Daphnia pulex: one gene and its partners. The protein of the gene in region 2 purifies or fractionates together with the protein of the main gene of each other region. This does not show direct contact. Links are inferred from orthologs where the notes say so. Each region holds a gene or a part of one and is shown on either strand. Other genes may lie near its edges. The genes, in order: chromatin modification-related protein MEAF6-like, MRG/MORF4L-binding protein-like, histone acetyltransferase Tip60-like, inhibitor of growth protein 3-like and vacuolar protein sorting-associated protein 72 homolog.

What was found.
Region 1: the proteins of MRG/MORF4L-binding protein-like (region 2) and chromatin modification-related protein MEAF6-like purify together in Homo sapiens (co-immunoprecipitation; 4 studies listed by BioGRID and IntAct, counting the BioPlex papers as one, with this or other methods). This does not show direct contact. The link is inferred for Daphnia pulex from reciprocal best matches to the Homo sapiens genes MRGBP and MEAF6.
Region 3: the proteins of MRG/MORF4L-binding protein-like (region 2) and histone acetyltransferase Tip60-like purify together in Homo sapiens (co-immunoprecipitation; 8 studies listed by BioGRID and IntAct, counting the BioPlex papers as one, with this or other methods). This does not show direct contact. The link is inferred for Daphnia pulex from reciprocal best matches to the Homo sapiens genes MRGBP and KAT5.
Region 4: the proteins of MRG/MORF4L-binding protein-like (region 2) and inhibitor of growth protein 3-like purify together in Homo sapiens (co-immunoprecipitation; 4 studies listed by BioGRID and IntAct, counting the BioPlex papers as one, with this or other methods). This does not show direct contact. The link is inferred for Daphnia pulex from reciprocal best matches to the Homo sapiens genes MRGBP and ING3.
Region 5: the proteins of MRG/MORF4L-binding protein-like (region 2) and vacuolar protein sorting-associated protein 72 homolog purify together in Homo sapiens (co-immunoprecipitation; 5 studies listed by BioGRID and IntAct, counting the BioPlex papers as one, with this or other methods). This does not show direct contact. The link is inferred for Daphnia pulex from reciprocal best matches to the Homo sapiens genes MRGBP and VPS72.

The regions. Positions count from the first base shown.
Region 1 is NC_060026.1:14,089,816-14,095,084, forward strand, and holds chromatin modification-related protein MEAF6-like, read right to left. Parts: upstream 2,569-5,269; 5' UTR 2,501-2,568; coding exon 2,426-2,500; intron 2,360-2,425; coding exon 2,153-2,359; intron 2,095-2,152; coding exon 1,894-2,094; 3' UTR 1,754-1,893; downstream 1-1,753. Other genes in the region: V-type proton ATPase subunit D-like, read right to left, coding at 414-555, 618-696, 762-977, 1,039-1,186, 1,256-1,373, 1,482-1,522; histone deacetylase 8-like, read left to right, coding at 2,627-2,773, 2,907-3,081, 3,144-3,320, 3,379-3,450, 3,520-3,712, 3,784-4,051, 4,122-4,227, 4,472-4,503.
Region 2 is NC_060018.1:12,247,663-12,252,959, reverse strand, and holds MRG/MORF4L-binding protein-like, read left to right. Parts: upstream 1-2,165; 5' UTR 2,166-2,311; coding exon 2,312-2,432; intron 2,433-2,531; coding exon 2,532-2,653; intron 2,654-2,718; coding exon 2,719-2,979; 3' UTR 2,980-3,138; downstream 3,139-5,297. Other genes in the region: tRNA dimethylallyltransferase-like, read left to right, coding at 271-481, 567-1,049; TATA box-binding protein-like 1, read left to right, coding at 3,949-4,266, 4,335-4,588, 4,650-4,744, 4,811-5,043.
Region 3 is NC_060018.1:12,584,809-12,591,318, reverse strand, and holds histone acetyltransferase Tip60-like, read right to left. Parts: upstream 3,912-6,510; 5' UTR 3,861-3,911; coding exon 3,789-3,860; intron 3,727-3,788; coding exon 3,669-3,726; intron 3,595-3,668; coding exon 3,526-3,594; exon of another isoform or gene 3,462-3,525; coding exon 3,153-3,461; exon of another isoform or gene 3,086-3,152; coding exon 3,011-3,085; exon of another isoform or gene 2,939-3,010; coding exon 2,742-2,938; exon of another isoform or gene 2,680-2,741; coding exon 2,596-2,679; exon of another isoform or gene 2,534-2,595; coding exon 2,209-2,533; exon of another isoform or gene 2,145-2,208; coding exon 1,982-2,144; exon of another isoform or gene 1,915-1,981; coding exon 1,698-1,914; 3' UTR 1,611-1,697; downstream 1-1,610. Other genes in the region: serine/threonine-protein phosphatase 2A regulatory subunit B'' subunit gamma-like, read left to right, coding at 1-89, 153-262, 323-491, 561-749, 812-948, 1,013-1,226, 1,291-1,418, 1,485-1,602; threonine aspartase 1-like, read left to right, coding at 4,045-4,146, 4,206-4,489, 4,555-4,738, 4,801-4,899, 4,960-5,400; arginine-hydroxylase NDUFAF5, mitochondrial-like, read right to left, coding at 5,416-5,651, 5,710-5,854, 5,923-6,009, 6,072-6,383, 6,447-6,510. UniProt on the Homo sapiens protein: Catalytic subunit of the NuA4 histone acetyltransferase complex, a multiprotein complex involved in transcriptional activation of select genes principally by acetylation of nucleosomal histones H2A and H4.
Region 4 is NC_060019.1:7,719,872-7,726,427, forward strand, and holds the start of inhibitor of growth protein 3-like, read right to left. Parts: upstream 4,523-6,556; 5' UTR 4,390-4,522; coding exon 4,362-4,389; intron 4,290-4,361; coding exon 4,218-4,289; intron 1-4,217. Other genes in the region: uncharacterized protein LOC124190484, read right to left, coding at 5,832-6,466, 6,546-6,556. UniProt on the Homo sapiens protein: Component of the NuA4 histone acetyltransferase (HAT) complex which is involved in transcriptional activation of select genes principally by acetylation of nucleosomal histones H4 and H2A.
Region 5 is NC_060028.1:9,609,612-9,615,849, forward strand, and holds vacuolar protein sorting-associated protein 72 homolog, read right to left. Parts: upstream 3,597-6,238; 5' UTR 3,439-3,596; exon of another isoform or gene 3,381-3,438; 5' UTR 3,315-3,380; coding exon 3,172-3,314; intron 3,113-3,171; coding exon 2,983-3,112; intron 2,926-2,982; coding exon 2,666-2,925; intron 2,604-2,665; coding exon 2,202-2,603; intron 2,133-2,201; coding exon 1,841-2,132; 3' UTR 1,785-1,840; downstream 1-1,784. Other genes in the region: uncharacterized protein LOC124210055, read right to left, coding at 959-1,392, 1,467-1,593; uncharacterized protein LOC124210054, read left to right, coding at 4,306-4,375, 4,506-4,655, 4,723-4,820, 4,893-5,014, 5,074-5,227. UniProt on the Homo sapiens protein: Deposition-and-exchange histone chaperone specific for H2AZ1, specifically chaperones H2AZ1 and deposits it into nucleosomes.

The DNA of each region.
Region 1 (5,269 bases), on a different chromosome or scaffold from region 2:
CCGAATGCCTTGTGATCGCCCATAAGTCACATGATATTCTCCTGTATGGTCCTGTAGCCTAGCGCGTGACTTGATTACGGTCCGAGATAAGACTAAACAATTCAATCTCAACAGGTGACGCGATAGCGCTGCAGCCAGAGCGGAAAGTTTCATTTCTAGTCGGACACTCCAAACAGACGGAAGGTTTTTGAAGAAAGTGCATCAAGAAGAATCAAAACGAAACATGTTTGAATCGAAAGTGTAAATTGCAATTAGTTATCTTTTTCTGTGGCTACACCAACAACACCAATATAAGGTAAGGAATGAACAAAACAATAGCAGTCACAATAATAGACTTGCACATCAAAAACTATTCGACATAGATTCGGATAATATCGCGCCTAATTATTATTTTTCTTTGTCGTCTTTTTTGTTCAGAAAAGAACATCCTCGTCATGTGCGTCATCGAGTATGTTGGCTGCTTCGTCTTCAATTTTCCCTTCAGCTTTACGTTTTGCCTTCTCCAGCTCAGCCTTGGCACGTGATATGCGCTTCTTATCTTGGATTTTCTTCAACCTTTTAAAAAGAGCAACGCCCTTAAATGGCTGGCGAGTATTTTGAATAATTGTAATAAATACCGGTAGAATTCTTCACGTTCTAGCTCGTCAAGTTCTGAAATGATGTAGGCCAGTGTCCGTTCAATACGAGGTATGATCACTTAATAGTTCAAGAAATAAAGTTTTACTTATTGACCAATTTGTTTAGATGAAAATGCATTTTACCGTGCTCGATGGCGTTTACTCTTCTATTGGTCACCTTGATCACCTTGTCGAGCGTGATGAATGACGTCTGCAGAGAGGCAAGCTCCACTAATAGTGTAACAGCTTTCTGGTAGTTTTTCTTCAGCTTACCCAGCTGTTGACCTCCTCTAGCCAAACCTGCCAGCTCATACGTATCACTACCATCCTGGTAGCTCTCAAACACTGGCAAATTCACACCTGGACACAACATAATAGTATTTTAAAGCAATTATTTTTGGATGATTTCAAAATTATTTACCTGCCACATTGTCTTTTTTAGACCTGACTTTGATCTGAGCCTTTGTGACGTTTTGCAGTACTACCTGATTGAAGTCACCAGTTGCAAATTTGGCTTCAGCAAGTGAAAATGCAGCTTCCTTCATCACATCTCCCATTAGTACTTTTGTCTGAAACATTGAGTAATAATTATTTTGTAATGCCAAGTAAAGTAGATACTTAATTCCTTTTCAACTTACATCAATGATCTTTTTCAGGATTGAGCGGAACCTCATTTGAAGAGCATCTGCCTTCTTTTTAAGAAGACCATGGCCTTTCTGTGCACCGGCAAGCCGATGTTTCATCAAAGTCTGTGCTCTGATTGTGTCAAGAGAAAGGAATTAAACCAAAAACTTGAAAGTTGTTATTGAGCTCTAATATGTTCTAAATTACAACTGAATCGTCTTAAAGATAAATATGACATACCCTCGAGAAGGAAAAATGGCAATTTTGTCTTTTCCCGACATTGTGTGATTAAAACTGGATCTGAATAATACAATACAAACGAATAGGGTTCGTAAGAGGGTTTAGTGTGTGGTTACCGAATTTTGACAAGAATCATCTGATCATGTGACAACAAGAGAAGGAAGAGAGGGGGAGGAGCAAATGAGCTTTCAAATCCATCTGGCGATAGAAGGATGAAACATATTTACGTAATAAGTCTGAATCGGAAAATGAATTGCGAGAACATTGGAATGTTTAATTCGAGCATTTATTCAGAAAACCAGAAAATTGACACACAGACATAAAGTTTGTTTAACACTTAGGAAGGTACATTCATAAGGGCATTCACGAAACCATGTTATAGAGAATAGGAAAATGAACAGTGAATATGAAATTATTTCAGTTTTGACTTCTTGCTCCCTCTTTTATTTATATGTCTGGATTTTGAAACTTTTCCTAACTTATCACCATTGACCCCCTCTAAACCGAGAAAATCTCTGCTGTTTTCGTCACTTCCACTCATTCCTGCTTGTGATTCAGTTTCACTGCTTCGTTCTGCTCTCTCAGAATTCAGATCAATGATCCCGCTCACAGCCTAGGTTTGAAAGAAATTTTATTTCTGTTAATTCAGTAGAAGTGTCATGCAATTCTACCGCCATAGAAGTAATTGAAGACTTGGAGAAAAGTCTTTCATTTTCCTTGAATTTCCTGTTCCTTTTGTCAGATGAAGGGTTTGACAGTTTGCTAGTACTGTTTAAATAACGGTCCCATCCTCGAATAATATTTCCGTAAAGCTGTGTATCTTCCAGGTAACTACCTTCGAATGCATAAATTTGTCTTTCCAAGTTGGCTAGGGTTTCCTACAAAACACAAATATAAACAATGAAGTAGGCAGTTTTTAAGGTTAAATTTGAATTCATTCTTACGGCGACTTCGATTCTTCGTTTGACGAGGTCAGAAAGTTCAGATCGTAAATCGGAGCTGGATGTATTTTTAGTCATTTTACAAGCCAAAATTTCGCCCTTTTCTTTTGTTGTTCAGGCGATGCTGGCGGCCATTTAATTTCGGGTTTCTTTATTGTCCGCCATGTCGCTAGTGAACGTGGCGGTGCAGACAACGTTATTCAAATGGCGGGTATACTGCCGGACGAAAAAAAGAGCTGTGATGATAACGAGGAAAAAATCATAAAATGTCCCCCTAAATCTAAAATTGGCTATGTATATTCACCGGAATTAATTCATCAATGTAATAGAGTACCAAACCTGAAGAACAGGGTAACATTTTTTTTCCATTCACCACTAAAAAATGTCACAGTTAAATTTTGACATACTTAAGCATTATGTACAACTAACTTTCAATAGTACATATAACGTATTTTGATCTCACTTTTGCTTTGTTTCTTTTCAGGCCTCATTAGTTCATCATTTGCTGGAATCTTATGGACTCTTAGATCATGTCTTGCTTTTAAACTGTGATAAAGTTAATGATGACGTCTTTCAAGGATTTCATTCTGCCGATTACATTGAATTCCTCAAAGGTGATGTGGATGTAGAGGATGAATCCAGTGAGGAATATGGTTTAGGTAATATGAATATGGAAACATGTAATGGAAATGTTAATTTATCACATTAAAATCTAATCAAGGATTTGACTGCCCCCCACTTGACAAGCTTGATGACTTTATCTCTGTGATAGCTGGTGGATCTGTAGCAGGAGCCAAAGCACTTGTTTCTGGATCTGTTGATGTGGCAGTAAATTTCTGTGGAGGCTGGCATCACGCTCAGAGAGATTGTGCATCAGGATTCTGCTACATCAATGACTGTACAATAATTTAATATTTTTATAATGAAAACACAAGGTAAAACTATTGGATTTTCAGGTGTTCTTGCCATCCTAGAATTGGAAAGAAAATTCAAACTCGTACTTTATATTGACTTGGATATTCACCACGGTAAGTCCAACCCTTTTTCAGTGTAAATGTATACAAGGATTGATACAAACCCATTTTTATTTATTTAAGGAGACGGAGTTGAAAATGCTTTCGCTTACAGCCGCAAAGTGTTTACGCTATCGTTACATAAACATGAAGAAGGATATTTTCCGGGTACAGGTTCAGTCAACGACACTGGTTTCGGCAGGGGTCGCAACTATTCATGCAATGTTCCACTCAGAGATGGGGCTTGCGATGAAACTTTCATCCACGTCTTTCAAACGTATAAATTTTCTTTTGTCTCCTTAAAACCTACAATGTGGTTCATCATCATTCATTCATCTGTGACAAAAGAGTTTTCCAGGAAGTAATGAAACGTTTTCGTCCGGAAGCAATTGTATGTCAATGTGGAGCAGATGGCCTAGCTAACGATCCATTAGGGACATTTAACTTGACACCCGTTGCATACGCCCGCTGCACCGCTGTCATCCAGAGTTACAAATTACCTACTTTGTACCTTGGCGGAGGCGGTTATCACAAGGCCAACGCGTCCCGTTGTTTCACTACCATATTGGCAGGTCTACTAGGCGTCGAAATATCATCCGATATCCCGGAACACGAAGTAAAACTTATTGTTGTAAATTTTCTTTATAGTTATCCGTTTTCTTTTAATGATTGATTTTTATTGACAGTATTTCAATTGGTACGGGCCGAGCTTCGAGTTAGACGTCAGTCGAGGTCTCCGACGGGACGAAAACAGCCCCGACTACATCCGGACTCTTTTACAACAAGTTTTCGGTATGTTGCGTCCTTAGTAGTAGCCTATAGTGCAAAGCAATGCGTGTGTGTGTGTTTTTCAAGCCTAAATTTAGTTGCAAGAGAGTTGAAATATTTTCGGCATGCCCTTGACTCCTCGCTCCTTCCATCGCGCGGCTCGGTGACACACACACCACACACGCACATCGAAACTATATAAATAGACGGGATATATGAAATTTATGTAATACCTAAGAACTCCCTCTCTTCTTCTTCTTCTTGGCAGGCAACTTGGAGCAAATCTCTAGCGAGTCGTGAACGTTTTGAATCCATCACATTTCCCTTCGGGCCATTATTGGGATTTTCGAAGGTTTTTTTTTTCTTCTCTTTTTAACTATTAACTACATTTTCGACATTTTACGTAATCAATACAAGACGACAGCCGAACGAAATGACGCCAACACTTTTTTCATTTCATAGATTAGCCGATATCGAAATGGCTATGTCAACATAAACGTCTCCCCCATTTGATTGTTTGACGGGCCTTCACTCGGGAACATTTTGAAATTTCCGTTGAATAAAATTAGACCCAATGGACTCTCCCCTAAAACAAGGTAAACACAAATAGAAATTCGATTTTCGTGATGGTGCTATTAATCCAAATATGGGCCGTTGTGTAAAGAAGAAAAACGAACAACAGCTGTGCGGTCTGCCAATGTGTAGAAATCCACCTACGCCGCCGAGCGGTTTCAGATATCAGATTGAAAAGGGCGAGGATTTCAGGTCGGTTTTCCCGACTTGTCAGATGAGGTCATCGGATGCCGTCACATCCAAAACTTACACACATTTCTTTATCCACTTAACTCATCATCGAAACAGATGATAAAACCATTTGGTGGTGGGGGGAGACAGAGCTAGGGAAATGAGTATAACAGGCTAATCTTGTATTTGATAATCAAATGACAGGCCTAGCAACCGAGCTTAAGTTTTTATTTCTTTATTTCTTTATGTCGTTTTTACAAAAAAATTGTATGTGTGTGTGGGTGGCCTTGTCTAGCAAATTTGGAGTGTCAAAGTCTCTGGA
Region 2 (5,297 bases):
AAATCAATCGGCTGACTGACTTCTTGCATGGAAGGAAACGAGAGAACAAAAAAAAAGGCGATGGAATTTTTTTTTTTGTTTTTTATTTTGGGTATGAGGATGGAATAGTTTGGGCGTATTCCACGTCATCACGATGAAGGAAAGAAAAAAAAGAAGAGTAATTTCCTTTATTTATTAATTCTTTTTCTTTTTTTGTTTTTTTTTTTTCACGAAAATATTTTTCCCGTCCTGCGCCGCTGCTCTGTCGTGAATTGAAAATAAAAAAAATAGGGAAGCGGATTACACCATCGGCATTTTCCAGTCGATCGGACTGAAGGAGTTTCACGAATTCCTGGTGCTGCCATCTAGCGAGCAGACGACTCAAACGGGACGGCGTCTCCTCGACCAGGGCGTGGAGGCCCTGAAAAGCCGCACCAGACGCTACGCCCGTAAACAGACGAAATGGATCGTCAAGCGTTTCCTTGAGCAACCCGATCGCCAGGTGATTTTTGAATACCATCAATCAAATGAAATCAAATCGGCCGATTTTCTGATATAATTTAACCAAATTGTTTTCTCATTCTCAGGTGCCTCCGGTGTACGGACTGGATGCCACGGATGTGACCGAGTGGAACGAGAAGGTCCGCGACGTGGCTTTCCGGATTGTCGACTCTTTTGGCTCCGACGAGGAGCAAACGGGAGACGGGAGCGAGTGCCGGCCCAAGCCGCTGGCCGTCGCCGAGACGACGACGCGGGAAGAGCAAACGTCCTTTCACTGCCCGCTCTGCGAAAAGGTGACGGTCGGCCAGCGCCAGTGGCAAGAACACCTCGGCAGTAACCGACACCGCAAACTGGTCAAACGGGCGGCGACCAACGGAGACGGCCTCGACCAGCAGTCCAAACCTAGACGACGCCAACCAAGGAGCGCCAAGACGGACCGAGCTGACGAAGACGAAACAAACGCGGGCGGATCGCAGGAGGCGGCTTTGACATCCGCTCAGGCTGCCCAGGAGGAACAGCAGCAGCAGCCACAACTACCATCACTACAAATAGATCAGCAGACCTCTTAAACAACCAACGTTAGCGCGCCCAGCCTGCCCGGCAGACTTTGAAAAACAACACAAAAAATTCCCGTCTCTTTCCCTCTAGATCTTTTCTTCTCTTTCCGGAAAAGTCCTTAAATGATCCGGCGTCGTTTAATGATCCGCTTCCCTTTCATTCTTTTTTCTCTTCTCCAGGGCAGCCCGGCGTGTTGTGTGATATTTCTCCCGTTTGCCGGCCAATGTTTCGCACAATAAAACCAAAATTTGTAGAAGGAAAAAGCTGAAACTGAATGATAGTCAATTTGTCTGTGTGTGTGTTTTGTAAATTCTTTGGCTGAGCTGGGAAATGTTTGGGGGCTAAACGGCAATACACAAAAGTTTAGTACTAGACAATGAAGAGAGATGGAAGCGATTTCTATGGGTTTTTTATTTTGCTTTCTTTTCACCGTTGAAATAAACGCTGGCTGGTTTTCTACGCCTCAATGGAGTCGGCCGGCCTGCACGGCAGTTATATCATGTAATAACAGTTGTTTGGAGAGGAAAAAAATTGACCAATAGCTCTTTTTGTGTTCACCAGCATTTATTCCGTGTGGGAGGAGGAAATGGCTGTTTTGTGTCGGGACTCTTTTCCGCTTATTTTATTTTGATTTTACAGGGCGGATATTTCGTTTGCATTTACACACACACCAACGCCAAAAAACTCTCCTCCGTATTATTTTATTTCTTTTCCTTCCCATTTTCTGCTTACGCTTCGTGATCGTGATGATTCAACTGGTTGTGACCTTGGGAAATGGACACGGGAAATGGGAAAAGTATTTCGTCGGAATGTTTCGCCCAGGACATTCTAAGAACCGTGCCTGATTTATCATTCGACAATCTTGGTGTTGTTCAGATAACGATTAACTAACGTCGCTGGATTAAATAAAACAGGATGTTTGTTTTGTTTTGTTTTCTCTCCATTTTGGCTGACTGAATTAATTTCTGTCGGGTCAATTATGAAACATTTATACAACAACAGTTTTTTTAATTAAATTGTGAAAAAGAAAAAAAACAAAAACAAACTGACTAGCAGTTGAATAGTTGAATCACAGATGGCGTGTCTGCTAGCATAGCAGACGCACCTAATCCTACCAAAACCAAATCACAGATGGCGTTGCGGAGTGTGTGTGTGTAGTATTTTCACTTGTCAGAAGGGAGCCGGTTGTTATTTTCGTTTTCCTCAACCACTAGTCGAACGTCGGAGAAATCTCCATTCAATATCAACGTACTCAGTTAAAATCGATTGAAATATGGCCGTTAAAGAAAAAACTGAAGGAAACGAAGAGACTTTGGAGGCTGCAGAAGTGGAATGGGGTACCGTCGATAACGAATTGCAGCTGTTACAAATTCTGTGTGGCACCAGACCCATAGGTAATAAGATAAACGTTTGAAAATGACGACGATTTTCTACACTTGTTTCACAGCAGGTTTAATTTGTGTTAAATATTTAAAACATTTTCTTTTTTACAGGAATTAGTAAATACTTTCAAATGGCCTGCATCGTAGAAAAACTGGCAATGAATCTGAACAAAGAAGTCACTTCCAAAGGTGTTTGGGATCACCTGGCGAGCTTGTACGATCTCAAGAAACTGGTTTGTTCACTGTCATTAATATTCACTGTATTGTTTTGTATTAAAGTGTTTGTTTCTTTCTCTAGGATGAGCACGAGACGATTCCTTTCCCCAACGAAGAAATGGACTTTGTCCTTTCCACTGAGGAGTATGGCGAATTGATGGATAGCAAATTCAAGGATGCTGAATCCAAGAAAGTGATAAAGAAGGAAAAGGAAGAAGTTAAGAAGGAAAAAGTTCCTGAAACACCCCAGCCAATTGAAAAGAAAGCTGTGAAAAGAACAAGAGCCAGCACTGCCCCAAGCCCTGGAACACCGCAAATCACTCCAAAACGTCGACGAATTTGAAAACAAGAAGATGAATGACTTTTTTTTTTTTTACCATGTCAACTTTTTCGGCACTCGTACATTATTGATTGCGAAACCGTTTAATGAAATTTTGTAACTCGGGTATTGTGTTAAAAAAAAAATTTCGGCCGGACTAAAAAATGACCGCCCACTTCAAAATCATGCGTTTGAATTTTTATTCGTTAGAAAAACCTTTCCATCTTCAGTTTAATTACCTCACTTATTTTAGAGAGTTAAAAAAAAGTTGTCGATACGATTTCCTGTTTCTCAAGTGTATGAAAATTATAATAATTAAAAATGAATTCGACGTGACCACATTTCGAAAGAGTTGTTGGAAGAGGCATCGGAAGGAAGAGAATGCACCGGTTTTGTAGTGCGTTTCATTGCCACTTGAAAGCGCCCCAGTGCAGCACTGCGAGCAACTGTTTGTTCTGTTCTTCGGTTTTTTACAGAGCCCTCGCCGACGATGTGCTGGGATTTGCAACGTGTATTTTCATTCGTATAAAAAATTGATTGAAGAATTTATCTAAGTCGGGTAAGAACAACATTGATCAATAGTAGGTTTCTCTATCGATTCCAAAACGAAGCCAAAGTTGAGATAATTTAAGGATGAATCACCATTACATTTTCGGCCATGTGATGTCGCCCTATGAGTGTGTGTCTGTGTGTGTATCAAGTGAAGAGAGGGAGGACGTCACACACTGAATTCTTGAAAAGCTCATCAAATTATGTGTGTTTTGACCGGTTTTCTCAATCTGTTTGGCATCTAGTTGGAGTAATTTCAGACGGTAGTTGAATTTTTAAGTTGATCTCGTGGTTAGAGACACACGATTCGGGCTACAAATGGATACCGCCTGATACGGCTATTGCCCAACCAGACACCCCTTGTGTTTACGTTAACATCGTTTCAATATTCTAATTTAATACGTTTTTTCCCTGTCTTTTCACAGTTGTGGCTCTCGGGAAGGAATGGCCATGACGCTTCAAGGATCTGTCTTGACCAATGGAAACACTGCCACGAACTTTGTTCCTCTCAAACTGGAACCCAACAACAAAGACTCACCGGAAGTGTTTCTGAACGAAGCCAGCAATGGTTTTGGTGATTGTGAAAAGAATGGATTGAACAATGGTGAAGTTATTGAGGAAGTTAAAGAAACACCTAGTGAAGAGCCAGTCATTGATATTACAATCAACAATGTGGTATGCAGTTTCAGTGTTAAATCCCATCTCAACTTGAAGCAGATAGCTCAGAATGGCTACAATGTTGAGTACCGTAGAGAAAATGGGGTAAGATTCAGTCACAGTCTCTAATCGTTTTCACAGTTTTTGGATTTCAATTTACGTTTCTGTTGCAGATGGTAACCATGAGATTACGGAAACCCTACACTACAGCTTCAATCTGGTCCTCAGGAAAAGTTACCTGTACAGGGGCAACAAGTGAGGATGAAGCCAAACAGGCCGCTAGACGAATCACTCGTTCGGTCTCCAAACTAGGCTACCCAAAACTACGCCTAGTAAATTACAGAGTAGTCAATGTTCTGGGAACTTGTACAATGCCTTTTGCGATAAAAATAACGCCTTTTTCAGCCAAACACAGAGATATAGCCAGGTTCGTAAATGTTTGATGAATTCGTTTTATCTGTGCTGACGTGTGTGTGGCTTTGATTCAGTTATGAACCTGAATTGCATCCTGGAGTTACATATCGTCTCAAGGAACCTAAGGCCACCCTAAAAATCTTCTCAACAGGCAGCATTACAGTTACAGGTATACACGATTGGCTTGTGAGTTTCTGGTTCATTTTTGTTAATTGTTTGATGCATTTCATTTCAGCGCCATGCGTGGGTAACGTCCAATCAGCCATCGAACACATATACCCCCTAGTGTTCGAATTTCGTAAAGAACGATCTCCTGAAGACATACGAACAATGCAAGCCACCAAACGGTCACGCGGGTTTAAACGCAAGTGTTCCTCAGATTTTGGCTTCGAAGCTGATGAAGAGTGTATCGCAATCGACGACGAAGAGGAGGCGGAAGACTTTGACAGTGATCAGAGCCACGATTAAACCGTTCAGAATCACCAACTAAAATTACGTATCACAGCAACCGAATCGTGGGTCGAGTCGTTGAAAGCAAATTCAGACTCAAGTTGGAAATCTCTTTGGTGCTCTTCTTCCCCTTCCTGAAATCCGTTTGGCCACTTCGCTGTCAGTACGACCAAACCTTTTTCAGCTTTCACTCTTTCGATCCCAACGATCTTGTATACTATCATCTAATTTTTCCCCCCTCACTTCTCCTCCCTTTCTCTACACCCTGTCAC
Region 3 (6,510 bases), about 340 kb from region 2:
ACATGATTAGCCTTAAACTGAGAGAAGAAGCTAGAACAGCATTCCTTCAGAAGAAGAGCAAAGAACTCCTCGATAACAATGAACTGCAGGTTTGTTAATGTCATTGCCAGTGTTTGTGCTACTGGTAAATAAGATTTTCATCCTGTCTTTAGAATCTCTGGACTTTACTTGACAAAAATCACAGCCCTCCTGCTGGTTCTGAGCAGATGATCAATTATATTGATTTTCTCAAAGTAGGCAACATAGCTGGTCCAAAATATAAGTAAGACATGTAAATATTTGATTGGGAACACCAAGTTATTTTTTGAATTCCCCTATACAGAGCATTCTTTACACCAGATGTATTTGCAAGGCTATTGCAGAATGATATTCATGGCAGAATATCAACCATGGCAGTGTTCAATTACATCATGAGGAAAGTTTGGTTACAGCAAACTAGAATTGGTCTTTCATTATATGATGCCACAGGACAAGGTCTGCTTACTGAAATGGTGAACATCAGCAATATGTTTTTTGTTTTTGCAATATGTAATTTACTTATCTATTTTTGTTTTTCCCAGGATTTAGAGAACTACATAACTGAACTTATCCCAACATTGCCACAGTTAGAAGGGCTTGAAAAGTCATTCCATTCGTTTTACGTCTGTACCGCCGTACGCAAGTTCCTCTTTTTCCTAGATCCATTAAAGCTAGGCAAAGTCAGGATACAGGATATTCTCGCTTCTGGTTTTCTGGACGAACTTTTAGAGGTATTTAGTATATTCCTGATTCTTTTGTCATTCTTCTCGCTAAAAATATTATAATTCATCAGCTACGGGATGAAGAGCTGCCCAAAGATGCACAGGATTCAAACTGGTTTTCTGCGCCCTCCGCTCTGAGAGTCTACGGTCAATACTTAAATTTAGATACCAACAGAAACGGCATGCTTTGTCAGGAAGAGCTCAGACGGTAATTTACCATATTTCAATTTGCAGTACGTACATTTAAGATTTTTTTTAAATTTAATTTTCAGATTCGGAACTGGCACGTTGACGCGAGTTTTCATTCAACGAGTATTCGAGGAGTGCATGACCTATGAGAAAGAAATGGATTATAAAACGTACTTGGATTTCGTATTGGCCATGGACAATAAAAAGGAACCACAAGCACTTCAGTATTTTTTCCGTTTGTTGGACGTCAATCATCGAAACCATCTCAACACTTTTGACCTCCATTTTTACTTCAAAGTATTAATTTCCTCATTTGACCTTTTGACTTTCTTATCTTGAAAAAAAAAAAAATGCTTTGCAGGGGGTTCAAGAGTTGATGCAGCAGCACAAACAAGAAGTCGTTGCTTTTGACGACGTCAATGATGAGATTTTCGATATGGTGCGTCCTGCCGATCCGTCAAAAATCACTTTACATGATTTGATTAACTGGTAACACACAAAGTTCATTTAGAATTTTTTTAGAATAAGATTGTCATTGAACGTTTTCTGGCTCAGTGGATACGGTGAAACTGTGATCAATATCTTGATTGATTTGGATGGATTTTGGACATACGAGAACCGTGAAGCTGTTGTCGTAACAGACAAGAATAACCAAGAGAAACAGGACATTTGAATTTGGAATTCTTGTACATAGAAATTGTGAGTGTATTTTTTAAAAAAAAGCAAAGAAGTAGCAAGATCGCGGAATGGATTGTAGGTGCGATCTCATCACCATTTCCCTCTTTTGGACCAGTCTTTCGGTGTCCAGTGCAAGCATTTGGGATCGATGTGTAATTTCCATTTCTCTTTGTTTTTTATGCAATTTTTCATCGCTTCTTCGTTCAGAATGAGTACGTACTGCCCCTTGTAGTAATTGATGAGGTTCAAATGCTGTAAGGTGGACACCACGTCCTCTTTTTTAATGCTCGTCATTTCGCAAATTTCGCTATTTAAATTAAAACGAATTCGTTTGTCAACGTGAGCTCTAGAATGAAGTAATTTACATCACTTACTTGATGGTAATTTGAGGACGTTCACCTTCACTGGATGGTTTCATATTCATCAGAATATCACAGATTGTAAAAGCCCAGTAACTGCGATAAGACAGCAACCCTAAATCGGACAGAGGTTTTTCTGGCGAGCCCGTTTTGCCTTCGAACTTGGACAGCTCGTAACCTTTACGTAAACAAAAATGGTTTTAAAAAAATATTTCCCCTTGGGTTTACGATTCTGTACGCACTGAATTCAATAAGAAGTTTTCCATATCCTTTCCGTTGATAGGGTGGTAATGTTAAGATGCAGGCGACATTGTAGTCCTCCGAGCTTTCTTTCTCTTTGCTAAAGTAGCCGACGATATGAAAACCTCGTGCATCCACTTCAGTCATGACGTAAAAGAGGAACGGATCAGTGTCGTAATACAGTGTCTTGTGATCAAGGAACAGTTTCGCTAGCAGGCATAGGTTCTGAGCGTATGCTTTATTTTTACGGCCGTCGATTTCAAAAAAAGAAATTGTCTGTTTGCGGTAAACTTCATTGCCTGGCGGATGTCTAAGATTGCACTTCATCTGTAGAAAAAGTTTAAGGGTTGATCATCCAATTAAAAATATATCGTAAAATTTTAAATTACCAGATGACGTTCTAGACATTTTTCACTTTTCCGGTACTTGAGACAAAACTCGCATATGTAAATACAAGCTTGGTGAACCATTTCCTAATTTTTGAAAAAGAATAGTAAACATTTCGGATCTTTACGTTCGTTAGATGATGACATACCTGAGGGTAGGGTGCGAAATACCAAGGTTTTATTCTGTGTCTGCCGAGTTCAATCATTTGAATATTTTTCATTCGTGTTACAACGTCATCGTGATGTGTAACAAGACTGCCCGACTGACGTGGCCCTGGTGTAGTCGGTGCAGGGGTGGACGGTGGGGCCGGAGAGTTAGCATCTCCTACCTCACAAACTGAATCACCTATGCAGAAAATTTTAGTTTTAATAATCATTTATATATAATAAATAGATTGTAGAAAAAATGACTAATTACTTGTAGGAACAGCACAACTATCGCTAACTACGGTGGGTGGCAGAGTGGGGATTGCTGGTAATTCTTTTTCAATTTCTATAAAAATAAAATTTAAAAGAATTTATGAAAAATGTAAAGAATTAATGAAATAAAATAACTTTACTTATAAGTTTCTTGGCAGGTGGGATTGGAATAATGGATCCTGGACTGGGCTCTTCTTTTTCTCCAATTTTACGTTTTCTTCCATTTCTCTTTTGTATTGCTGCAGCCAGTAGAGCAGACCCATTGACAGTAAGGTCTGATGCACTGGATGCAGCTAGTGGGGAAGAAGGACGGGAAGAACCAGTTGTTCCTCCAACTTTTTTAGGAGTACTCATGCCTGTGCCTACTTGAGTTCCATCTTTTCTAGGAAACTGAATTTTTCTCGTATCTAAGAAATCTTCTGAGACCCAATCATCAAGTCGTTTGTTGACTAGAGTTGAATTAAAAATTTTGTAAGATGATGTATCGTTAAACATAGCATATACAAAACTTACAGTCGATGTAATGGACATAAAACATCCTGATGTTGCAGATATCTTTGACACTGAGTACTTCGGCTAGAGCTAAATGATAACAAAAGAAAAACCACAATTAAACTTTCAAATCTATAAAATGATAACAAAGCAACAAATGTTACGCCAGTCTTCGGTGTTTCTCATCCGTACAGGCAACCGACAGCCTTCAACAACAGATGCCTAGATAATAGAATAAACAAAATTAAACATGGTTTCTAATGAAATAATGTAAAAATTCATACAGTTGAATCTGAAAACAGATCTTTATCTACAATCTCTTCTTTCATTTTTGACAATGACTGTTCGGTCTTCATTAGAGAAAAAGCTTTCAAAACAACAGTGCGCGGCCATGAGCGACATTGCCGCTTTTGCCGGTTGGAAATGGTAGTCTTCTGCTAGCTCTCTCACAAACTGGACCGATCAGTCCCATTTCAAATTGTAAAATGAAATTTCGGTTATGAAAATTCTCGACAAAATTTAAACCATAAAAGTGCAAAAATGTCACAGTATGGATTTGTTGCTATTCATCTTGGAGCAGGCTGCCATAGTTCAAAATCTGAAGCTATTTACAAAAAACTTTGCAAAATAACGTGTGAAAAGGCATGGCTTTCTATTAGTGATTCATGGTTTCATAGTTTGACTTGATAAGTTTTTCCCAGGGAGCAGCTTTATTGCAAGAAGGAAAATCTGCACTAGATGTTACGTGTGAATTGGTTTGCATATTAGAAGATTCACCACTAACTAATGCAGGATATGGCTCCAATCTCACTGAGAGCGGTGAAGTTGAATGTGATGCAGGAATCATGTTGTCTTTGAAACATCAAAGAAACACACGATTTGGAGCAGTCTCATCACTTAAAAGTATTAAAAATCCTATAATGGTAGCCAAAGAAATCATTTTATACCAGAATGAACCAAGACTTCTTGGTAGAACACCTCCACTGTAATTCAAAATACCATTTGCATCACTTAAAATGAGTGGTTAAATTAACACAGCCTTTTTTTTAGTGTTCTAGTAGGAGAAGGAGCGTCTGATTTTGCTAAAAACCGAGGTTTGAATCTTGTTCACAATAGCACTCTTATATCTGACAAAGCCATGAGAAAGTATAAGAAATATAAAGAACGGCTGGAAGTATCCAGAAAAGCTTTATCAAGTGGGCTAAAGATCACAGTGCAGCCAAACCCAAGTCAAGTAATATATTTGGTTTCCTAAAGTAATGTTATCCAAATATCATGGTTATTTTTTAAATCTAGGATACAGTAGGAGTAATTTGCATAGATACGAATGGTGACATTGCAAGTGCATCGAGTTCGGGAGGAATTGCTATGAAGCTTCCCGGCCGAGTTGGACAGGTTTTCCTTTATTCCTTCTTGTCATTTTAGTAGTCATTTACAATGTGTATATTGCGATAGGTGCCAGTTTACGGCTGTGGTTGTTGGGCGCAGCATTCCAGCTCCGGTGGTGTTGCTGTGTCAACTTCTGGTTGTGGCGAGCAACTCATCCAAACAACCTTGGCCAAGAAGCTTGGTCAAACCATATTAGAGCGAGGAGATCCGGCTTTCCACTTGAAAGAGCTCATGTGTGACGAGTTCATCCATTCAGAAATGCTGTCTGATGACGTCTATGACCGGATGGGTGGTGTTCTAGTGGCGTATTATAGCGAAGATTCGATAGATTTCAACATGGCCTTCACAACTGATTCGATGGTCGTCGGTTTCATGAGCACTAACCATGAAAAGGCTATTGTTCGGGTGTCTCGAAACACGTCGCTTGCGACACCGACAAATGCAAATAACTCATCACATTCCAGTAGGTTGACTATGGAAGGCTTTATTGTGAAACTAATAAATTAAGGAGAACAACAAGCGTTACATCTTTTTCCCGTCGTTATCCTCCAAATTGTGAGTAATTTCTTTAGCAGTTTGCTTGACCATGTTCTCGGTGGCATTTTTCACGACTTCATCGAGCCGATAGAGATCTTTAATGGATATTTCTCCTGTTCCGCGCTCGAGGGGTTTAGGCTGTGAAGGATCAGGTTTCCACCCGATCATGTAAATAATCTGAAACGTTGCTGGAATAGACCCGTCTTCATTTCCATAGAGTTCTATTGATCAAGAGGGGTATTAGCAAAACTAAGAAAAAAGAAGAAAATGTCAAGAAACCTTTATAGATGGCTGACGCAGCGAACATCGTGTCCCGATGCAAATGCAGTTTGCGGATCCACGAAGCGTTATTTTCGCCCATTCCTTTAAGATCTTCCATTAGTTCGAACATTGAAGGGTAGCCTACGCTTATTTCGTCAGTGTCCTATCCTTTTACACCGTTGTTAGTCGAAATTAATAATATAACATCTTTGGGGGTGTAATATTTCTCACGATGGTTAGCATGGTGAATCCAGCGGAGTTAAGAAGTCCACCAATGTCTCGGATTGCAGCGAAGGGTGATATGTGTGCAGCGAAACCCTGCAGTGATACAAACAAATTAGTTCATTAAACGATTAAAAAGTAGTAAAATCATAACATACTCCTTCCCGTTCGGTCTCTCCTAGTTGCAGTGAACCCCTCAGTTCGTACAGGGTTTCGCCTCCAAAAAGAGCGCCAATAAATACACCGTCAGGACGTAAACATTTCATAATTTGAGAGAAAGTGCTCGGTAATTGATTTACCCAATGTAAACTTAAACTACTCATAACGAGATCAAAGCTCTCTTCTTCAAAGGGAAGGGTTTCTTCGTCCACAACCATTTTCCGACAATTTATGGTCGTATCTTCCGGTATCGAGGCTTTCTCTAAAACTAACGCTGAATGATCGCACATGACCAACTCCTCCACTGCATCCTAAAATTGAAAAACAAGATTAGTTAAACAACTCAAATATTATTAAAACCTCCTACTGACAACCTTTGTTAGATGTCTGCTCACATGTCCATACCCACAACCTAGATCCAGGCCTTTTTTGAATTTT
Region 4 (6,556 bases), on a different chromosome or scaffold from region 2:
CTCCGATGGAAAAGGAGACTGGAACGGCCAGTCCCCAAACTACGCCAATAGGAGCGTCATTCTCAGATGCCCCAATCGGATCCAGCGGAGAAGAAGATAGTAAATGGTTTGAGAAGGAAGAACAAGTTGCTGCTAATTTCGACCTTTCTCTTTTCTGGAAAATAGAAAATTTTGCGAACCTTGAAGGCGCTGATGCAGTGGAATCGGATGATCGCTTCGATTTCTTTGACGAAAAAATAACGAGATGGCCAGATGGAAGATACTGTACACCGATCCCTTGGACAACTGACAAGTGGAGACTTCAGAAAAATCTCCCGTTGGCCACCGGAAGAGTGGAAAGCACAATAACAAGATTGAGAAAAAATCCAGGAGACTTGGTGAATTACCACGCAGAAATCCAAAAGCTCATCGACAGCAAATTCGTCGAGGAGGCGAACATGGACTACGAAGAACTTCACACCTATCTCCCACATCATCCGATCTTCAGAGGCGACAAATCAACGACGAAAATCAGACCCGTCTTTGACGGAGCAGCAAAAACGAAATTTGGACCAAGTCTGAACGACGTGTTGGAGACCGGACCAAATCTCAATCCCGATCTCCTATCAGTGCTATTACGCTTCAGAAAGTACGAGATTGCCTGGATCGCCGACATAGAAAAAGCCTTTCTAAACATCGCCCTGCAGCCGGAAGATGCTGAAGCAATCAGGTTTTTATGGCCCAGGGATCCAGCAGTGGCTGGATCGCCTCTTATTGCCTACAAGTGGAAGAGAGTGCCCTTTGGCCTTAGTTCTAGCCCCTTTCTCCTACGTGTTACAATTAACAAACATTTCAAATCACTAAAGTCTCGTTTTCCAGAAACTATTCAACAGCTGGAAGAAAGTTTGTACGTTGACGATTACCTCGGCGGAGCAAACAATTTATCAATCGCCAAGAAAAGAGTCGATGAGACGGACGAGATCTTTAGTGACGCCCAACTCAACATGAGAAGCTGGGCAACCAACAACGAAGACCTCAAACAACACCTGAAGGAGAAAGGACTGTCGAATCAAGTCGTAGGCCTACTCTCCCCAGCCTTGGACGGCCAACAGAAGGTGTTAGGAATCCGGTGGGACACCGGATCCGATTCGTTCAAATTCAACCCAGCATCCATCATCCAAGCAGTAGAAGAAGTGGGATCGGAAATCACCAAAAGAAAGATACTCAGTATCTCGGCAAGGATTTTTGATCCAATTGGATTTTTATCTCCCACTGTACTTTTGTTAAAGATTATTTACCAGAAGCTCTGGGAAAAGGAGATAGGTTGGGACCAAGCAGCGCCAGCCGATATCCAAAAATCTTGGAAGATAGTGATGACTGGTCTCGCCGATTTCACCGAACTACAAATTCCACGATGGATCGGACTATCCGAAAAAGTCACTTCTCACGAAATACACGTCTTCGGAGACGCTTCTGAAGCAGCGTATGGAGCCGTAGCCTACGCCCGACTCCAAAAAGGACAAGAAGATCCACTCATCATCCTACTGGCCAGCAAAACGAGAGTTGCACCCCTACCTAAGAAAAAAGTAACTTTACCGCGTTTAGAACTGCTGAGCTCACTTTTAGCCGTACGTTTAGGTGAAGTCGTAAAAAATGCAATGCAAGTCCAGTATTGGAGAACTATCTACTGGTCAGACTCCTTGGTTGCACTAGGATGGATTAGAGGAGAGCCGAACAAATGGAAACCATTCGTCCGAAACCAAGTGGAGACGATACGAAAATTTTCACAACCCGAGTGGTGGAGACACTGTCCAGGTCTCCAAAATCCGGCCGATCTTGCCTCGCGGGGAGCGCCAGCGCCAACGCTGGTAACCTCAACTCTTTGGTGGAACGGCCCGATTTGGCTCAAAGGAGAAGAAACGGAATGGCCAGATTCTCCCAACGACCAAATTCCACAAACAATCCAGTCCGAAATGGAATCGGAAGCTAGGAGTACGACGGTCAGCACAACAGCAGCCATCGCAATTCCAACAGCCTCCGTCGACTGGAATCTCGACAAAATTTCCACCTGGAATCGACTGTTAAGACGTACAGCCTGGGTCTCACGATTCCTCAGCAGGAGTCAAAAGAAGCTCAGACCTCCCGGTCCAGAACGAATGGAGTCGATAAAGGCAATTGGACCAGATGGAAAAGGAAGTGGAAAAGTTATCCGGATTACAAGATTATCCAGAGAGGAGCTGGATGAAGCGGAACTAACGATCTACAGACAGCTCCAACGAGAGCGGTATCCTAAGGCGTTTGAATCGCTACAGTTAGACAACACAATCCAGCCCAAGGAGAAAATCGCTGCACTTTTTCCAATCTGGGACGCCAGAGACCGTCTCGTTCGAATCCATGGGAGAGTATCACTTGCCCTAAGAGATAGAAACATCGATCCCCCAATTTTGCTTCCTGCATCACATATAGTAATCACTTTCTTAATTACAGACAAACACGAGTCACTACTACATGCAGGAGCAAAAGTAACACTATCCGAGTTAAAAGAAAAATTCTGGATAGTTAAAGGACGACAGCAAGAACTAGCAGCCCCTCTTCCTTTAAACCGACTCAAACATGCGCAATCTTTTCACGTTACAGGAGTCGATTTCGCTGGACCACTGCTGTACAAACCAGCACAGCGAAGGAAGAAAAGGAAAGCTCCACCAAGCGTCCAGGATCCGACGCCAGCAGACGATCCAACTGAAGAGCGAATCGAGGAGCCACCCGCTGAAGGAGACGCTCCAATCGAAGCTCTAATCGTAGGCGAAGAGGATTCAGTCGAAGAAGATGTCGAAATCCAAGACATCTTAATAACAACAACTAAAGCTAAGAAAACGAACCATCTTAAAAGTTATGTTTGTCTTTTTACGTGTGCAGTCACTCGAGCGGTTCACTTGGAACTACTACCCGATATGACGGCGCGTTCCTTCTTACTAGCCTTTCGAAAATTCGCAGCTAGACGAGGACCCGTCTCAGTGATGTATTCGGACAACGCGCAAACGTTCCGATGTGTCGACCGATTCCTGAGAACTATTCACGCCGATCCCATCATTCAAGACTTTCTCGCGTCCAGAAAAACCCTTTGGATATTTTCCGCCAGCCTAGCGCCATGGTGGGGAGGATTCTGGGAACGGATGGTGAGGAGCGTCAAGGATCTGCTGCGACGCTCCAACGGTCGAGCCTGCCTTGACTACATGGAACTGGAAGCGAGTTTAGCAGAAATCGAGAGCGTAATCAACGCCCGCCCACTCAGCTATATTGGGGAAGGAGCTGACGATCCACTTCCGATAACTCCTAACCAATTTCTAAACAACAGACGTTCTACTCGTGCCGATCCGGAGCCAGCCGTTAACTTGCTGGATCCTACATCGACCAGCATCGTACTACAAGAGATGGACAAGAACAGGAGGGAATATGTCGCTGACATCTGTGCTAGATTCGTCGACGATTATCTACTCCAACTAGACAACTTCCACTCCAAAGGAAAATCCGGAAGGAAGATCCGCCTAGGAGAAGTCGTTGTTATCCACGACGAACACTCCAAACGACTCATGTGGTCTACCGGAGTAGTGAAGGAACTGATTCCAAGCCGCGACGGACTCATCCGTTCTGTCATGCTCAAGATTCCAAATGGTAATTTAATTAATAGAGCCATTCAATGTCTTCACCCTATAGAGCTGCGAGAAGATCTCGCCGAAGACGTCGAAATTGGAAATCCGGAACCGATCCAGGAGCCGGAAGAGGATCCAAATCCAACTCTGCCAGAACCAGAAATCGATCTCGCTATCGGAGACGCTATGCCAGCTCCCGAAGAACCGGAAGACGTCGTCGAAGATGTCGAGCCGGATGCTACGGGCTCTGGTGGGGAGTGTGTTAGGAATATTCCATTCCAACAGACGACGACGAGATCAGGGCGCCGCACAACAACACCGGCGCACCTACGCGACTATTGCCTTGGGGGCCCCCGATAGGTGGCCCCAAATTCAGTCGTTGGTCCCCAAATTCAGTCGTTGTTTCCCTACCCCCCTATTGTTTATTCCCCCCCAATTTACTGTACAATATTCAGTGTGTTAAAATAGACGAGAGGTAAAAGACACGGTTTTGTTCGTGTCTAATTTATTCAACTTGGAAACTGTAAGTAAACGGCCCGACACGCCGAACATCCCTATTACATTTTCTACAACTTATTCGAGAGTTACTTTGAACTTGTAAATCCATTTCGCGCATTTCAGTAAATCGATCCCTCAGTTCTTGGGGCAAATGCTCTATCACTACAATGGGGAGATGGTAATTTAAAAATTTTAATCAGGGAACTTTATCATCACTTGAAACACTCATCATACTTTCCAAATAATCTTCTAAGTACAACATTTTGGTACAAATTGATTGAAATCGACAATAAAATTTATTTAAGTTTTGAGAAATTTTCTTTTTCTTATACGCTTTTGACGGATGGCTTGGATCACTGCTTCTTTTCTGCAGTTGATCTACAGGAATCTAATGTGATGACGCGAGCGAGTGAATGTCTGCAGATTCCCTCTAGCGAGCAATTTGGTCACTAGGAGTTGTGCTCACTTGGTCTAGTGTTAGCCTACTGCCGCCTACTGCCAGTCCTAGTTATACTGTAGGCAGCGTACGTACGCCGCAAGGTACCCGAAGGGAATGTTAAGGGTATTCTAGTTGGTATAGTAGTATTGGTATAGTTTTACAAAGACAGAGCTATAGAATAGTTATAGAATAATAAAAATATTCTGTTATAAAGGTAGGCCTATTATTAAGATGGATTAATAACATTTAAAAAAAATTTATGCCCTTAGTTTCCGGAAGATTGTAATAAGCATAAATCGAGAAAGAGATTAAAAGAATATTTCCGCGTGACTTTGGTGCGGCGGAGGCTTCGCCCCGCCACCCCACGTCACACCGGATCTTGTTAAAATTAAATTTAAGTAACTACCTATCAGCACTTCTGTTACTGGAGATTGATAGCGTTCGGTGATAACATACAGTGACTTCTATTCTATCATACAATAGTAGTCGATTGTCACGTTACGTTTATATCCCTGTCACATGTCTCTGTATTATCGTCTGCTGTAACAGCTATTGAAATTCTGTCAAAAAGTAACCAGAACTCCGTTTGATCAAATGCCTGAATTGATTGCAGCCAAATTTTCAGAATAGATGTAAAAAATTGTAAGCTACCGATTACTGCCATTGAAATGCAATAAAATTGTTGATTACAATCAATAATTGCCAAAAACTAGTGCATCCATCTATGTAGTGTTACGAGAACTGAGGGTGCCCATGTAAACCATACTGCAAACGAAACTTTGACCAGTAACCCTTCGGGTAATTTGTAAATATTGAAATATTTGAAATAAATAACATGAAAACTAATTAAAAGTGACATGTGTGCTTTGACTTTGTCTTGTCTTTGACTCAACTCATGTGTCTATGTGAAAGAGCCGTCTGAAAAGCGATCTAAATTGGGCTCCGAAAGTCCGAAAAAACCTTCTTAAAAAATCCGTGTCTTCGGAGTTCGGACGTCACCTTCTTTTTACGAAAAAATTTCGTTCCATCTTTAACAACACTCAGTAGATTTGAGTCCAATTTTGTATTTAGAACCTTTTAGAGATTGAATTTAACCATTCAGGCTTACAGAGAAATTTTCGCACGTAGCAGTGAATCGAATTGGTAGCCTGCCGCTGGTGTGATTTCCATTAGTGAGGGAAATATCTAGTGAGGGAAATGTTTATATTAAAATCAAAGATTAAGTTAAGTTAAATTATCTTCATTATACCTCATACCAGATTCGTTTATCGAAATATCTGTACTTGTCCTCCATTTCGACAGTTGCTGAGCCGAAAAGAAGAAGACGATCCATCTTCATAACGAAATACAACTTCGGCATTCTTCTGAAATTTGGGGCTTCCTGATCCGTTGAATTCGAACCAACCATCGTTATTCCGGCGACCTGTCACTCCAGCCGCAACAGCTGACGAACTGATCCTACCTCCGGTGTTAACGACTCCAAGGATTGCGTAGTAATTATTAGTAGTTTCGGAATTGGGACGGTAGTAGCAGATGGCATCATTTCCGTTTAAGGGGTTTCGGTTGGTCAACGAAACACTACAATCGACGATACCGGGTGACTTGTTCGAAGTGGCTCGTCGCCAGGTTTTGCCGATCATGTCCACCCCGCAGGAATCGCTGTTCAGGTTGCAAGTGCTGGCCACAACGGCATCAATCGGTCCGTTTCCGCAGTCGATCCGCAAGACTTGGCCGCACAATCCTTGACGCCACTTGAGGTTTCCGAGTGCTTGCGATTGTCCAAGAGCAATCGCGTCGGTTACCGCGTAATCACCTTGCGGCATTTGACATCCGCCAGCATCAGATTGCTCCGCCCAGAAAGTGCCTTTGACATTACGATTGCCGGAATTTTCATTACTTCCTAAAAATGTTGAGATTTTAATAATATTTAATATTGTAAGACTTTGTGACCAAAAATATTCAAAATGCTTTAAGTGCACCTGTTAGGAAT
Region 5 (6,238 bases), on a different chromosome or scaffold from region 2:
CAGTCCACATACCGACAGTTGCTGCCCAGGCCGAAAGTGGCGGTGGTTCAAGTTGATAGTCGTCATCGTCGGCCATCTTTGACGTTCACCCAAGTGCCAGCCAGCCAGCAGCAACCCCCGTGAGCTTTTTCGTACACGCACAGCTGGGCTGATCCCGCACCAACAGGGGGGGATCTCCTCAAAAATTCCCGAGCCGCTGACACTCTTCTTATCTCACATTCGGTGGCAGATAAAAGACGACCGCGAACCGCTGCTCTCAGTTGCGTCACTTTCAATTCGCACTACACACAGAGCAAGAAAATCATCTACGGTACACTCTATTTCCGTTCTATTTTTTGAAACGCTCCTGGCGAGATAAGGTCCAACAACAACTCACCGGACTATCTTCAGCAAGACGCCCCGAGTATGTACAACGCGCGGTCGTTACAGAGCCGACTGTTGTCTCTCTTGTATTGATCACGCTGCAACGCGCATGACCCGAAAGTGCACATCCGTCACAGGGGGGTTGTTGGCTGTCGTCGTCGTCGAGTTGTGTACATGCGCAGCATAGAAATAAGTAAATGAACTTGCCACTATCAAGTGCACGACTGCACGGGGCTGCACATTTCACGCAACTTAAAAGAAAAACACTTCTAATATAATAATAACGGCGTTTTGTGCTGGGACAAGGATGACCGAGAAGTTCTTCGTTTTCACGATTGTCCGACCGGATGATTTACCGTCCAACTGCTGCGTGTTGTTCTTGTCAACACGAAACCGCAACTATACTCGTCTGTTGTTTTTTGGGTTGAGCCCATAGTACTATATAGACAACACAGAAAAAGGGAGTGGTTATTTCCGTTATATTACATATTAGACTTATCGTGAGATAGGGGGGGGGGAAACGGACATTCCTTGTATTGCAACACCCGGAATCGGTGAAAAGGTCAACGCGCCGTATCAAAAAAGAAAATAAACCTTAATTTGAAAACGAATTGACGGGAATTCGGTTGCGCCGACTATTCGACTGCTGTCGGCGCTGTTTCATAGCGTTCAAAATGGCTTGGAGGAAAGAGTGGCGAAGTAGGTCAGCCGGATTGCGTGATGCAACGCATTCGGCATCAACCCATCCGCCGTGAATTTCACGGCAGACCAGGCCGTTGGTGCAGGGACAGAGGTTCAAATAGACGTGATGTTGTTCATGTGATGGATCAACAAGATTTTGAGTGAGTCGACAAGCTTCGCCCGTCTGACGCAACGGCAAACAGAACCGGTGCAGACGGGACCCCGTAGAGCGGACGCAGCACTCGTCTGCAGAGCAATCCTCGGAATTGCGACACTCTCCGCCTGCCGCTTGATGAACTGGACAAAAGATAAGAGGCTTTAATGTTTTGGTTGAATGCTGACGTCTTGCTAACAATGGAAAAGACAAAAATGAGCTGTTCAAATTATTTTTGGAAACACATTTTTAAAATGGCTGATTTTACCTGCAGTCCACCAATTAGGAACAAAACGAGTAGCTCCGCTGTAAGGAACCAACTGCTGGGTGACTAATGTCAACTGAATTAGTAGTAGAGCAGCACAATAGTACAAGTTTTGAAGTTTAAAGAACATGGTATACGTCTTGATCGCCTTCCGGTTTCATCATCACTGCCAACTTATTTGTCGGCAGGTGTAGCAAGACGCTTTTGATAGGATTTAACCTATGAATAATTCATCGATAACATTTGCTAGTCTGACAAAGTTCGTATGAAACACAAATCGAGTTGAAAGAAACCCTAAATTGTCTAATGGTCGAAAGAAAATATCAAAAAATGTCCATTTTATTCATGTCGGTTGCAAAAAATGAGGAGAATTTCGTTCATATCGTCGGTGTGGAGTTATTCGAGTTGGAGGGTTTGACTGCTGGAACTGGCGTCGATGCAGGTGCTGAGTTTCCCTGCGCGTTGACCTGTTGAGCGCGAGCGGCAGCTAGAGCGGCGAGTCGAGCTTGGCGGTACTTTTGACGCCATTCCTTCCAGCGGCCGATCTCCGGATCGCTGGCGTCTCCTTTCACCTCCAGCTGCTGGCAATAGGCCTCACGTAAAATCCGGAAGGCCTGTAGAGTGCCGTACGGCAGCTGAGTCACCGGATCAAAGTATTTGGCTCTTTGCCTGAAAAGAGATATGATAAACGAATGATATTTCCCTTTCATCTAAGAGAAGACGATCACTCAAACCGACCTGGTGATAGGACAAAAATTCTTTTGAGGTGGAGTGACTTTCGTCCGACTGAAATTAGCCTCCAAGACACTGTCATTCGAAAACGTAACGAAAGTTCTTTCACAACACTGCTTGCTGTCGACTGTGGCTACCGTGCCATTCTCAACAACTGGATTATCTTCTTTTTCCTCATCTTCTTCGACATTAATTCGCTCGGCTTCCGGGTTGACTTCCTGGATCAGAGGCATTGACGTCGAGAGGTAACGAATTGTTGGTCCAGTAGGAGCCTTTTTCACGACCCTAGTTTTCTTTTTCTCCAGTTCAAGTTGGTGATACTTTTCCAATGATTGAATGTTAAGCAATTCAGTCTCTTTGGCTTCTTCTAGAAGCTGTTGTTGGGTTAACTTTTCAGAATTGTCCCTTCTACATCATAATAAATGATTGGTTTGAAACATTTCTAATGAAGAATTATTTTTAATGCTAACCTGTTGTGTTTTCTTTTCCCTTTTGTTTCTCTCTCCCTGAGTCTTTGTACAGTTTCAGCTGATTTCAATACAGTTGTTTGCCTTACTGCCTTCTTTTCTCTGGCCTGTGAAGGAATTTTTGGCTTTCTGGCATATTTCGACCTGACCTTCGGGACTTCCACAGGAACTTCTGTTTTTTCTCCAGCTTTTGCTATTCTTTCTGTCATTTCATCAGCATTTTTGTCACCCTTTAAGCGTTTGCTCGAGGAAGCTTTAGGCTCCTAAGAAAATTTTTAAAAATGATTTCATTCGTTAATTCTGTAGTAGAATAGACATACCTTGTACGCTTTGGTACTGACTACACCTCGTTTTCTTTTAGTGCCCTCATCTTCATGATCAGAGATAGGTTCATCATTTTCATCAATGCTGAAATCTGAGTCTACTACGTCATCCTGGTCCTCTTCCGCTCTAGACCAAAAAAAGATTTGTTTTATTGATGTAATATACAAATTTAGACTTTAAATTACTTGAAAACGAATTCATTGTCATCTTCTTCATCATTGAATCCACCGTAAGTGCTTTTATAGAAATCGTCATCCTGTTCTTCTTCCTCCAGTAATTTTGACAAGCGATTGCCCGCATTTACACGCCGTTCACGTTGTAGCGACATGATGAACTTTAACAGATAGACGTTATTTTTTACTAAACAAACACTATGAGAATTCAATTACTAGATCTGAGAACACAAAGTTCACGTTAAAATTACACAAAAAAATTAGTTTTTTCTAAACAACCTCAACTGGAAAAGCAGACGCCAACGCCACAGAAAGCCATCTATTGACTAAAACCAAACTTAATTCTTGCTAAATCACAACGCTAGGTGGCGTTATATCCTACAGAAACCTTTCCGCCTTTCCTTTCATTCTTTCTACTTTGCTTCTCCTGGATTTAGACGTACTGTACCTAAAAAAAGAAATTCTGTCTCTTTCATTTTATATTTGTTCTTCAATCTTCATTCAGTCCTTCCCCTTTAAGACTGAAGTTAGTTACTAAGAAAAAGAATTGAAAACACTTCACCTTGTTTGTTATAACGTTTTGTGTTGAGGAACCACTTTAAAGAGAATATTAAAATTGTTACAGACTTCAAGCTCTTTATCCCGATCCTTATCCAGGTTGATGAACACAATGAAAAAGCAAAAGACAAGATCACACACATTCATGACATGACTATAACATTTTTGTTTAAATGAAGGTACGAATTATTCTGCTGCATTTTATCAGTAAAATTGCCAGTTCCAACCAGTTCCAACCATTTCACAAATTGACCCTTAAAATATTGCCTCAGTGGGTATCGCTACTTTGCCAGTTCCTCACCATTTACGTATAATTAAATTTTACAATTGTTATTTTTCAAAATCAAAAGTAAAACCAATTTTCCCGCCGGTGCATGCTATTTCTGCCGCACGGAAGTAAGCTTTACTTCTGGCATTCATCTGAAAGAACGAAAAAATCACCTGAGGCTAGAATAACCCAGAGAAAGTCATTGACAGATGGAAAACTCAGGTGTTTCCGTACAAAGACCGGCATGCAGTTAGTCTTGAAACCAGTTCAGCTTGACTGACTCCGGTGCCATCTCACCATTTCTTTGAAAGCTTTATCAAATGTTTGTCCGTGATTTTGTGCTCTTGTCTCTGACATTCTTATTGTGTCTGTTCACGTCAAGAGGAGAAGGTGAGAATCATTAAAGCGTTTTAACTTGATATGTTTTTGTTAAGAAACTACGGAATCTTGCAAGAATTACGTCATCCTACTAGTCTAAGTCAAGTAATTTCAATTATATTACCACTTTTCCCTTCAACTGCAGAATTATGGCGGGAAGATGTGACTGGGCGTATGAACATTGGTGTGACGGCTTCGGGGTTCGATCAGATCCGGCTAGACTGCGGTAGCAACAATTTTCAAGTGGTAGTAGAGACACTGGCCGATTTTAGAGGAGTCATATACACCAGAGGTACAAAACAAGAGAAAATATCGATTTAAAATTTAAATTTTCGTTTCTAAATTTTTCTCTGACTTAGGCAGCTTCTATTCACGAAAGGCACCGTGCTTTCTAGATGCTAACGGTGGCCGTCGTTTTCGGCTCAAAATACCATACGATCAGTGCAATGTTGAGGATGTACGTGCAATAAGAATAACGAATGTATCAACACGTCTAACGTCTCATGTTTCTAATGTGCAATTTTTTTAGGATGGAGAAAAGTTTCAAGTGACTCTCATCTTACAGCATGATAAGGAGCTCATTATGCCAGGAGACGGAGCTTTTGCACTGCAATGTGATCTGTCAGCCAAAGATTCAAAATCTTTTAAAGTGTAAGATTTCAAAATGGTTTCGACGTCATTAAAAGTACTCATAATTCATTGATTTGCAGATCTGCCGTGTCCAGTATCAGTTTAGCTGATCCGGATCCTTCCGGAAAAGATGTTCCAACTCATTTGAAGTCCACTGTGAGCGCTCCAAACGTAGTTGTCTTCAAGCCGTCCGATATCAGACCAAGAAAGTCACCGCAAAGGATCGAGCTATAATTGTGAATATTTGTTTTTTGATTGTGTACATCCCACATTGGATGTCATAGACGGGGATCATCTACACTAAAATATAAAAATAAAGACAAACTTTTATTTCAGGCGAGATTATTTTGTTATCAGTGATCAATGCAGGAAGATCCTAATGAAGCGTCCCAATGCTGGGTATTTTCTGTGTTGCGAAATAAAGGAAATGCAGCACCGTCTACGTCATAACTTTTACAGATGATTGCGCAGTATCTTGCAATAATAGAATTAACGAATTCAGTAAATTCATTTCAGCTTTCTTACGCTGTTTAATGAAAAATAAAAATTTTACCCGTTATTAAATATTCTTGTCCTATTTTCATTTGAGCAATTTAAAATATGAGAAACCGAGTTAGTTACGAAAGAATTGAGCAACAACAGTGCGAGGCGGAAGCAAAGAAGGAGTGCTGGTGAAACACAATGACATGTGGCAACCCTGTAGCCCATTAAACCCTACGGAGAAAAAGGGCCCGACGAATTGATGAAGCCCACTGCTGCTGTCTACAAGTGGTCTGTAACAAGTGTCACTCTCGAAAAAGGAAAAATCTATTGCACCGTGGAGTCCACGGCGCTCTAATGTCAAAATATGCTATTGCGCCGTGGATACCAGGTGGCGCGGACGAGCTAGTTCCAGCAGGGGTATGGAGAGGTCTCTCTATGCCCATGGGTTCCAGCTTTGTTATCGCAAATTTTTTTCACATGTACCATAGTAGGTAAATCTAATTTGCACTGGACAACCATTGGGCATCACGTGTTGATTAAGTCTTATTTTAAGCCCTTTGCAGAAAGCGAACTATGTGTTCCAAAATTAGCGGTATATGCCGCTAGCTAGCGTATACTAACATAATAACTGTAGTTGCTGGACATTTCAATGCAGGTCCGTTTTCTTTTTGAAGGTTAAAAGGGTCGACACTTGTATATACAATTTGTTTTTGACTAGGTCGATCACAGCTGACATAATTGCTATTATGAGCAGCCGCAGTA